Linked DNA regions of Saccharomyces cerevisiae S288C. Changing the gene in region 1 together with any one later gene gives a genetic interaction. Each region holds a gene or a part of one and is shown on either strand. Other genes may lie near its edges.

Region 1 (5,212 bases):
TTTTATCCTTCACCGAACCGGCCTCCACTCCAACCAGTTTCTGTTTGAAATACTCCTTGGCCCATCCGATGCAGTTCTTATCGACCCAGTGCCAGTTATTTGGGTTATTCACGACCATATTGATATATTGTTGCTACTATAAACGATTAAGAATAAGACTGAAAGGAATAACGAAAGTAAGGAATTGCCTCTCTATCAAAGTTTCCTATACGAGTGAACTTTCAAAATGCCTGCAGTTCTTTTTGTATTTGCATTACACATAAAAAAAAAAAAAAAAAAAAAAAAAAAAAAAAACTAACTACTTTTATATAATACAATTACAGATATGTTCATTCTCCCACATACAATGCGGTAAGTAGGCATTTTGAATCCATCTTGGTTTGTTGCGAGGCTTCTTTGTTTTTTCTTCTAGAAAATTCCATTGTGAACTGGGTAACACAATATCCCTTTTTTTTTTTTTGGGAATCTATTTCGAATATTCTGCACTTTTAAATTTTCTATCATAACGAAAAATCAGAGAAATTTGTTGTTGTCATCGATGGTAATCCGCCACCGAGGAAATCTAGCATCATATGCATACCACCACCTCCACTGTATTCGTCAACATCTTGAGGCAGCACCTGCGTGACTCCTTCGAGAAACCAGACTTTATCCTTGACCTCTGTGGCAAATCCTCGAAGTAGTTTATAATATGATCTCATAATTCTCATTGCACCTAAATCACCTGTCATCAGTAATGCCAGGAATGTCTTGTCTAGCAATGCTGGAAATGTAAATACCCGCAGAATAAAATCACCCTGGTTTTTTTCACGGTGCAATTTATCTAAATAAGCTAGTGTTATCAAATATGGCGAATCTAAGCCGACAGGATACAAATCGGCAATACTTTCATCAAAACATACCAATTCAGTAATTGTTCCAACATCAGGGTTAATGACATCGCCTAAATCGCTAAGATCAACAGATATAATGTTATGAAATTTAGATCTTTCACTCAAAGGCCACACAGCGGTTAAAATTGTTGCAGCACCTTTGACATGAAAGATCCAAGCGCTTGGTGACATGCTATTCAAACTTTGGTTTCCTACAGTGCCGTTACCACTAGCATTTGCTAACGAGTCCATGATTAGTATCAGGGCGCTGGCAACTAGCGCATCGGTGTTATTCTCAGATATTTCTAAAACAGCTTCTCTTAATAATCTCAGAGCGTCTAGGCGGTGAGATGAAACGTATTGCTCCAGTCCAGTTTCAGTCCTCGAAAGATGGGTGGCACTGAATGCCAACAAAGCGTGCATTAAAAATGGATAGTCAAATGCTAACTCCGGTATGTAGTCCCTCCATATTTCAGGCCCAGAAACTTTGGCCGCTGTAATCGTAGGCCAGACCTTTGTGCAATAATGATGAAACAGTTTCATGTCTATCAGGTTCAGATTGCCTTTGGTAGAAAGATCTAAAAGCTTAGCGATGTTACTGGTACCAGCAGAAACAGAACTTCGGTCAGCTTCGTTATTAATTTTTGAGGTCATGTCTTGCCGCGATGCATCGTCTTCATTCTCTGTCTGTGATGTTTGTAAACTTATCGTTGGTTCGTTGTTCTCCAAGGCTGCTTTTGTCAGATTTCCTAGAGAACTTATAGAATCTTGCATCTCTTGCCTATCATTCAACACTGCAGAGGGCGTTGATGGAGAAATGTTGCTGTTTCTGTTCATGTTTCTTTCAATCATTGATATAGGCGCCATTGTCGAAACCGCATCAGCCGCCTGAGGTTCCATAATACTAGCACTTCCCCCTTGGGCGTTATTCGATGGCGCTGGACTCTTCGTATCAGAGAGCTGACCATCATTCTCCTTTACAGAAGCAGCTGCACGTTCATGATGCTCTTGCATATTGGCCAAAGCTTCCTCTGCGTTGCTGGCCTTAGTAGCTCTTGAATTGCCGTTATTTATTGGAAACTTAATACCTAACAGTTCCTGAAAGTCATAGGAAACACCACCAATACCAGCTGTTGGAAAGGTACTTAACGACTTTAGGCTTAGCCCCATCTTACTTAACTGAGATAATGCATCAGCTTGTAATGTAGCAGCATCGCTGTTTAAAGTAGTTTCGCTTGTTTGTGATTGTAAAGGCCCTTCCTTTACCTTTTTGCTGTTTTCTTCCTGAACGCCACCTTCCTCATCGTTAGGTTGTTGCTCTTGCTGAAGCAGTACTTGTTGCTGCTGTTGCAAAAAATGTTGTTGGTATTGCTGGAGTTGTTCCTGTTGTTGTTGCTGAACTTGTTGGTGTTGTTCCTGACGTAATTGTTGATACTGCTGCAGCTGAACTTGCTGATGCTGTTGCAATTGCAGCTGCTGGTGTAATTGATATTGTAATTGTTGTTGAGTGTAGTTTTGGCCGGAAGGAATCCTGTTACATAGTAACATCCCGCTTAGACTATTTGATAAGCTCATTCCCGTGGATTGCAATGCAGGACTACCCGCAAGATCGAATGAACCATATCTCTCGTTTGGAGTTCCACTTGCTTGCTGCGCTTGGGTCTGTGGTTGAGATTGCTGCTGCACTTGCTGCTGTTGCTGAAGTTGGAACGCACCCATATTTCCAGAAGGCAATGGCGGTAATAGTAAGCCATCGATACCTGAATTCAATCTTTCAGGAGAACCAAAACCAATAGTGCCATTTTGAGAGAAAAAGTTATTCATCATATCTTTCTTATTGATGGTACCCTGGAGGCCCATACTTAGAGGAGTCATATTGTTTTTGTCCTCTATAGGGGCCGATGACTTTTCCTCGCTCTCACTCTTAGTTGTAGAGGCGCTTGATGGAAAGGAATCATTGGATGAGCCTGAAGCTTTTACCGCTGATTGGATATCATTGAACGGTGTCTGCTCCTTCTTGATCGTAGGAGGTAAATCTACCGATGAATCAGACTCCACGCTACCGTCTGCCTTTCTCGTGACATACTTCACTACTGTTGCTCCTCTACCTTTCCTTAAATGGATTGGTGTATACTGACATTCCAACTTCATATTTGTGCACTTCCTACAGGCTGGCTTCCCTTCATCACACTTAACTCTTCTTCTTTTACAGTTATCGCACCCATTCTTTGATTTGTTATGGAATTTACGTTTACCGGTTGAAGTCGTACTCACCTTTTTGCCGTCCACTTCAATTAGCTCGATGACTTTTTCTCTTCTTCTGGGTTTTGTCACCGCTTTCTTGTGATTCTGTATACCGACTTCGCTCATACTGCTGAACTGTAAATATTTGTACTTAACTTTTTTTGATTCACTATTTCTGGAAAGCTCAATTTTGTTTTAGTGTTGGATAAATGAGAAAAGATAGTTCCTACAACTTCAAAAAGTTAATGTATGTAAAAAATCGCTGTTTAGAGGAACAGTCAGCACTATCGCACCCTGAAAGCAATATCAATCTTTGACAAAAGAAGTGTCTACTTTCTATGCCGCGACTTTCCAAGTAACTTGTATTTGCTGATCCTGCCAGGGCGGCGCATATATAGATTTCGACAAGCACATTCACTGAAGACAATAGAATAATATTCGTTGGGCGAAAATTTGACGCGATCCCGCTAAGGTGCGCTCGTTTAGAGAAAAAAATAGCTTGGAAAAAACCTTATTTAGCTGCCACATTTAGACAGAATAACACAGCCACTATGGGAGATATTCACCCTGGGGATCATGTTTAGAAACAGGCTTAGCAGTAAGCGCAATTGAATTCATGGAATACACTCCGCATTCTTTTTTATTGCCGCCTTACTAAAATGTAACGCTAGCGTTAAGCTTTTTTCCTTTAACAGGGTTCCTGCTCGTTTACGAACAAACACAATAGTTTGTAGGGACCCGCTTCTGCATTTGGACAAGAAAAACAACTCAACGAAGTCCTAATAGGTACGCGTTATTACGTATTAGTCCACCTCGCACGTGAAAAGCTGGGAAGCGCTTATCAACTGCCCAGAGTTAGCGATCAAATTCAAAAATAGAACTAGCTGAAAAAAATATAATTAAATTTTATATAGGTTTATTAGTTTACATGCAGATACAGAATCTCGTTCGGATTACGCAAAGAATCAATGATCGTGCGGATCTTCTTTGGGTGGTTCTGGATCCACTGTAATCATTGTATCAATTCTTAGAATTGCTACACAAGCCTCCAATGCTGATTTCAAGGATTTGACTTTGCTTATGGTTGGCTCAAGAACACCAGCGTGAATCTCGTCCACAATTTTACCTCTAATCAAATCTAGGCCGTAATTTCTGTAGCTTCTCCTCTTAACGTCCTCTGGCTTGGCCATTTGACTAGCGGCATGGTAGGACCTTAATTTTGCAACTAATTCACTAGAATCCTTGGCAGCGTTAACAGCTAAAGTTTTTGGAATGATTAATAATGCAGCTGCAAACTCAGCAATAGCTAACTGTTCACGAGAACCAACTGTGGTGGCAAAATTGTCCAAATAGATATTCAATGCGGCTTCAACGCAACCTCCACCGGGGACAACATTTCCACTTTCAAGCGTTCTTTTGACAACAGAAAGAGAATCGTGCAAAGAACGTTCCATCTCATCTAAAGAATAATCGTTGGCACCTCTTAAAATGATCGAAGAAGATGAATGTTTAGAAGTACCCTTAATTAAGATACACTCATCATCAGAAAATTTGGCTTGAACTACTTCATCACAAAGACCTAAATAACTGCTTTCGAAAGTTTCCTCACCTTCTAAGTTAGACATAGAACTAACCAAAGTGGCGCCTGTAGCGCGTGCAATTCTTCTCAAATCTTCCTTCTTACAGCGTCTTACACCCATTATCTTAGCTTCAACGAACTCCTTTAAGCATAAATCATCAATACCTTTGGTGGTTAACACAACTTGAGCACCAGCATCAATGATCTTCTTCACTCTTTCCAAAACAATACCAGCTTCACGTTTACGGATTTGCTCCAATTGTTCCGGATCATCAATGTTGATTTGAACACCCATTGCCATACGAGCTTTCTGCAAGTTCAAATCCAAACATGCGATTTTCACATTGCCACCGGCGATACGTTTAGGCATTGCTTGAGAAGCAACTGTACAATTCAAAGCATAACCTGGCACCAACAGTGATTCAGTGGCAGATTTACCATGAGCTTTCAACACATTGACAGCCTTTACGGGATACTTGATTTCTCCTTTGGAATTTTGCGTCTTAACAGCCAAAAG
Region 2 (2,479 bases), on another chromosome or scaffold:
ACACGATGGTGGAGTAAACTCCTGTAGATTTAACTATAAGAACTCTTTAATTCTAGCATCTGCAGATTCAAATGGGAGGCTAAATTTATGGGATATTAGAAACATGAACAAAAGCCCAATCGCTACCATGGAGCACGGTACTTCCGTTTCAACTTTAGAATGGAGTCCAAATTTCGATACTGTATTGGCAACGGCTGGCCAAGAAGATGGGTTAGTCAAGCTATGGGATACCTCCTGCGAAGAAACTATATTTACCCATGGTGGTCATATGCTCGGTGTGAACGACATTTCGTGGGACGCTCATGACCCTTGGTTAATGTGCAGTGTGGCAAATGATAATTCAGTTCACATATGGAAACCTGCAGGAAACCTTGTTGGACATTCGTGACCTAAACGTTCCTTGAAGCCAGGCATGCTAATGGCTCCTGTCCCTATTACATATTCAACCATTTGATAGACGAATATACAAACATAAATAGAGTTTATAAAATATGCTCAAGACTTGCTACAATAAACACTACGCTCAGACTTCATGCTGATTTCAATATTGTATTTCGAAGAAAGTGGTTGCTCATTTATTACCTTTGAACTTTCACTTTGGTATTTTGATATTCTCGAGGTTTCCCAGTCTGGCTTGAACTTCAGTTCGCCTTTTGAAAGTGGCAGGATTATAAGGTATATTTCTGTAATGTGATGGTGCAGTGCCTCTTGGATTCCAGTCTTTATCGTAAAATATACTTCTTATACCGAGTTCACCGTTCTCTTTTTCACGACCCAGTGAGTGTCCAGAATCAGCTTCTAAATGACCTTTTGATACAGTCTGCAGAAGCTGTCCCTCTTTATTTCTCTCTAGGTTTCTAGAAAGTGATTCAACTTGATTTCGTACCTTTTTCTTATTTGGGCGTTGGACCTTGGAAACCCTTCTTTCTGTTAAGTTATTACTTGGGTCCTTCTTTTGATCCATTAAGCTCAAACGTATATAGTATAAAATGATGGAATGCGAGAACTAAAAGGATTGGATGACTTTGAAGGTAATATATTTCCTTGATATTTGAAAATAATCAAAAAAATTTGCTGAAGGCCTTTGCAAAGTGTCTAAAAGTACGTTCTGTTCAAAAAAGTAAGGAAACTCAATATACAAAAATTGCCTTTTCGTCAAAGTTAAGGATTTTAATATTGAAATATTTCATCGATATAAGAGAACCCCGAGCAAGAAGAACAAAAGAAAAACATAAAGCAACGTGGAATATGTCACAATCTACTGCATCACTGGTACCAGAGGGCAATCAAGGCTCCCTCCAAGAAGATGTTAGTTTTGATTTCAATGGTGTACCTGGCCAGGCTTTAGATGCCGTGCGCATGCGTTTGGCTCAATTAACTCATTCATTGAGGAGAATCAGAGACGAAATGTCCAAAGCCGAACTGCCACAATGGTATACACTCCAATCACAACTGAATGTCACATTATCCCAGCTCGTTTCTGTAACCTCCACTCTACAACATTTCCAAGAAACTTTAGACTCTACAGTGGTTTACCCTTTGCCTAAATTCCCAACCACCTCTCATGAAAGTTTGGTCACTACCCTTTTGAGGAAGAAGAATATTCCTGAAGTGGACGAATGGATGAAATATGTTAGGGAAACATCTGGAGTAACTACAGCCTTGCTAAAGGATGAAGAAATAGAAAAGCTGCTGCAACAGGACAGAGAAATAACGAATTGGGCGCGCACTACGTTTAGAAACGAATATGGAAAGCACGATTTCAAAAATGAAGAATCCCTAAGCGAAGAACACGCTTCACTTCTAGTACGAGATAGCAAACCTTCGAAACCTTTCAATGTGGATGATGTTCTAAAGTTCACCTTCACAGGGGAAAAGCCCATTATTACGGGATCTACTTCAACATCATCTAGTAATTGAATTTTACTTCACGCTACTGATATTTTAAAACATTTTATTGTTACTAGTGACCTGGTAAAAATATTTACAAGTATAAAAGGACCAATTTACTGAATGAAGTAAATAAGGATCATTGATATGTTACGATAAATAATGCAAAGTAAAGGAGAAGAAACGAAGGGGTCCAAACCTTAGTAGGTTAGCTTTCTATAAACTTTGACAGGCTTTATATCCTTACAAAATGCACTTTTTTCATACTTTTTTGTTAGAGTATGTCTTGGCCCTAAAGTGAATTTAGAGTTTTTTAGATTTCAAGGCTACGATAGTAGCCTTATAACAATTTCCCATGTACCAAACATAATTATACTGTTCGGAACTGTTCTCATCAAATGCGGGGTCAACCCACTATACATTGAAAAGAGTCCCTCTTCTTTAATTATAACTTTGAAACTTTGTACTAAACCTGTATACTTTCGTTTACCATTTTCCTTGGGCGTTTGTCTCAATCTCGTCCTGACAACTTCGTGCGGATATGTTGCTATACTAGCCACAAATTTTGCAAGACCAGCGCTTCCTGATC
Region 3 (2,975 bases), on another chromosome or scaffold:
ACTGTATGGGACAGGTCTGGCATGCCTATATCTAGAATCAAATAGCTTGAATAAGTCCAAAGAGCAAGAAGATCCCCATGCCATCGCAGAAGACGACATTGTAAATATAGTCCATGACGCTCCCAATAGAATATTCAAGCCAGCACTTGATACCTATCAAGAGAAAGAGCTTGACTTACAAAAGAGTGACCTCCATAAAGTACTTCATTCTTTGACGTACAGTGATGTCTCTCAATTTTCGATTGTTTGGGGGTTTCTCATTCAACTTTCGAGCCTAATAGGCAATTCCACCTTAGGCAAAAAATCCATTCTTTATAAGGGAAGTGTCGTTAGTGTTTTAGGGTTCCCACCGTTGATTTATATGGCACTTAAACTTAGGATGAAACAGCTGGAAAAAGCTGGAGTGCGCTTTGAGTAATGCAGAAGGCAACATCTCCGAAAATAAAAACGATGAAGTAAATGAAAACTCGTTTGTGAATACGTAAAATTATAACGCGCCCCATACATAGTAAGACAGACTTACTTTTATACTATTATTTTAGTTATATTTTTGAAGTACAATCAAGACCTGCAAGATTATAATGTTGGTGATTCAACAATCGACGAGACCAACTGTTTGTAAATGAACGGGATTGCACTGGCCCCCGATAGACTGATCGTAAAGGTTATAGAAAGTGCCCGACAGACATTGGTAAAACACGTCATTATCACCAATAGCTAAAGTGCCATGCTTCGTTATCGACCAGCCGCCAGCGTAAATAGCGCCCGCCTGTGGAGGTGGACCATCAAATTGGAACTGTCTGTTTGCTACTATCGATCCAATTCTACCACTGGAGTCAATAAGAACACCTCCTTGTAACGTTATTGCCAAGGTGCCAGAACTTTTACAGGCTTGCACCTTGATCACTTTTTCATTATTTGGTTTCTTTGTTGGCTCTAACTTACTCTTGGAAAGCACAGAACTACTACTGGCTGAAGAAATAGTAACTTGCACTTGACCATCATGAATCTGAGAAACAGCAGTTGCGGTTGAAGTTGCTGTCGCAGTTACAGTTTTACTTGGAACAGCAATTGTGGACTTTGTGACAACATTTTTAGCTGTAGTTATTTGTAATTGACCATCGCCTATTTGTGACACAATATGTGACACTACTGGAGGCACCTTCTGCGTTGTAACTTGTATTTGGCCGTCTCCAATTTGCGAAACTGGATGAGGTAATTTTTGTGTCGTTACTTGCACTTGACCGTCATTAATTTGTGAAATGACGTTTCTTTTGACCTTACTTTCAGTAACGGTGAAAGGTATAACAGCGAGACCGAATGAGGTCCGGTACTCTGTTGTGCCACCATCCATTTTAGAGCTTGGAGTTAAAGTTGCCCAGGGTTCAGGTGGAGCGTACGCAGTTAGCGCAATACTACTTAATAGAGATGCTAGAAATGCTTTCTTGTAATGCATATTGGGGCGGTGTTCACTTCTTCAGTAAGTTGTATAGAATTAAAAAATCGAGACTAAACAGAAATTTCGAAACAAGAAGATAAGTATATGTATACAAGTTATTTTACTCTTTTAACTGTTTTCGTTTCCCCACTCTTTCGCAAAAAGAATAATTTTGTGAGTCAAAACAGTCGAATTTTCTTGCACAAAAAGTCGATATTCTTTTGTGACTCTGTGTAACTTACTTTCTACAGCTTTTGTTACTCCACTTCTCTTATATATACCCAATGATTCACTCGTAATATATCAGAGGAACGTTAGAATTTCTGTATTTTCTCAGGAATCCTACAAAATTAGAGGTGAAATTGATCAGGTTAAGGAGCAGAAGCCCACTATATAAGTAAGATGATATCAAGCCTAGTTGGATGCCTTCAGGAACGGCAAATAGGATATGTGAGCTTGGCAAAGGGGTTTTGATAGAGTAACAATAGATCCTTGCTAGCCAATGCGACGTTCCTCTGTAGTTTTTACCACAGTTTTACTTAATTTCGTGCTTTGTCCCTTTTTGGCAAAAAAGTCGGATAATGTCTTCACTATATTTGTGTTTTCGTCTTTTAGGAAAAGCGTACTTTAGTAAACTACAAATTTGAGCTGAGCTAATTTCGGATTAGTAAAAGATGCAAGGAACAGTAAAAATTAAAATAGCGATTGACCGAAATCAGTCCAAAAATTACTACAACAAGCAAATCCAATTAAAAACAGTAAAATACTTTAAGTGCATTTACCGTTACGAACAACATATGTCCTAGTTAGTATAGTAGTCTACTAAGTAGCAAAAAAGTAGAAACTCTGTCACTATACCAGCCATCAGTTCATAGTAAAACAGTAAAAATTGTAAAAACAAGCAAAAAAAAAACAAGAAGGAACAAATGCACCAAACTGTTGATCTATTCTGCAAAAAAAAGTATGGTAAATTTTTTCCATTATCCTGGCCGCTAATCCATATGGAGGTGAACTTAGAACTTGCACAAGGATGCGATGAATGATAGGCTTTGTGCTATAATTAATGCAGGCAGGTCCGCCATGTCCAACACGTTGCTGGCCGCAAAACGAGTCAATCTCACTGCTTTGCCACGCTCATTTCTCCCCCCTTCTGCCCAATTAGGCGACCCTCACAATGCACATACACATTTCCCACCTCTATTGGAAGGGGCCGTAAATGGTAATTCTTGGGAGTTATTCATATTAAGTGATCTTACTATTTCCTATTTCGGAAATTATTAAAGACAAAAAAGCTCATTAATGGCTTTCCGTCTGTAGTGATAAGTCGCCAACTCAGCCTAATTTTTCATTTCTTTACCAGATCAGGAAAACTAATAGTACAAATGAGTGTTTTCTCAAGCGGAACACCACATTTTGAGCTAAATTTAGATTTTGGTCAAAATAAGAAAGATCCTAAAAAAGGAATGGTTGGTGAAAAATTTATTAGCTTGAATGGTAGGAATCCTCGAGATATAAAAGGAACACTTGAAGTCTAACG

What was found.
Region 2: mutations in UPC2 (region 1) and AIM4 together harm fitness more than expected from each alone (negative genetic interaction), as found in Saccharomyces cerevisiae (2 studies listed by BioGRID).
Region 3: mutations in UPC2 (region 1) and PIR5 together harm fitness more than expected from each alone (negative genetic interaction), as found in Saccharomyces cerevisiae (2 studies listed by BioGRID).

The regions. Positions count from the first base shown.
Region 1 is NC_001136.10:887,781-892,992, reverse strand, and holds UPC2 (Upc2p), read right to left. Parts: upstream 3,243-5,212; coding exon 501-3,242; downstream 1-500. Other genes in the region: AHA1 (Aha1p), read right to left, coding at 1-118; chaperonin-containing T-complex alpha subunit TCP1, read right to left, coding at 4,082-5,212. UniProt on the Saccharomyces cerevisiae protein: Transcription factor that is involved in activation of anaerobic genes such as DAN/TIR cell wall mannoprotein genes and YML083c.
Region 2 is NC_001134.8:608,523-611,001, reverse strand, and holds AIM4 (Aim4p), read right to left. Parts: upstream 965-2,479; coding exon 593-964; downstream 1-592. Other genes in the region: MSI1 (Msi1p), read left to right, coding at 1-388; RNA polymerase II mediator complex subunit MED8, read left to right, coding at 1,249-1,920; RIM2 (Rim2p), read right to left, coding at 2,217-2,479.
Region 3 is NC_001142.9:117,370-120,344, forward strand, and holds PIR5 (beta-1,3-glucan linked protein), read right to left. Parts: upstream 1,457-2,975; coding exon 593-1,456; downstream 1-592. Other genes in the region: FMP33 (Fmp33p), read left to right, coding at 1-418.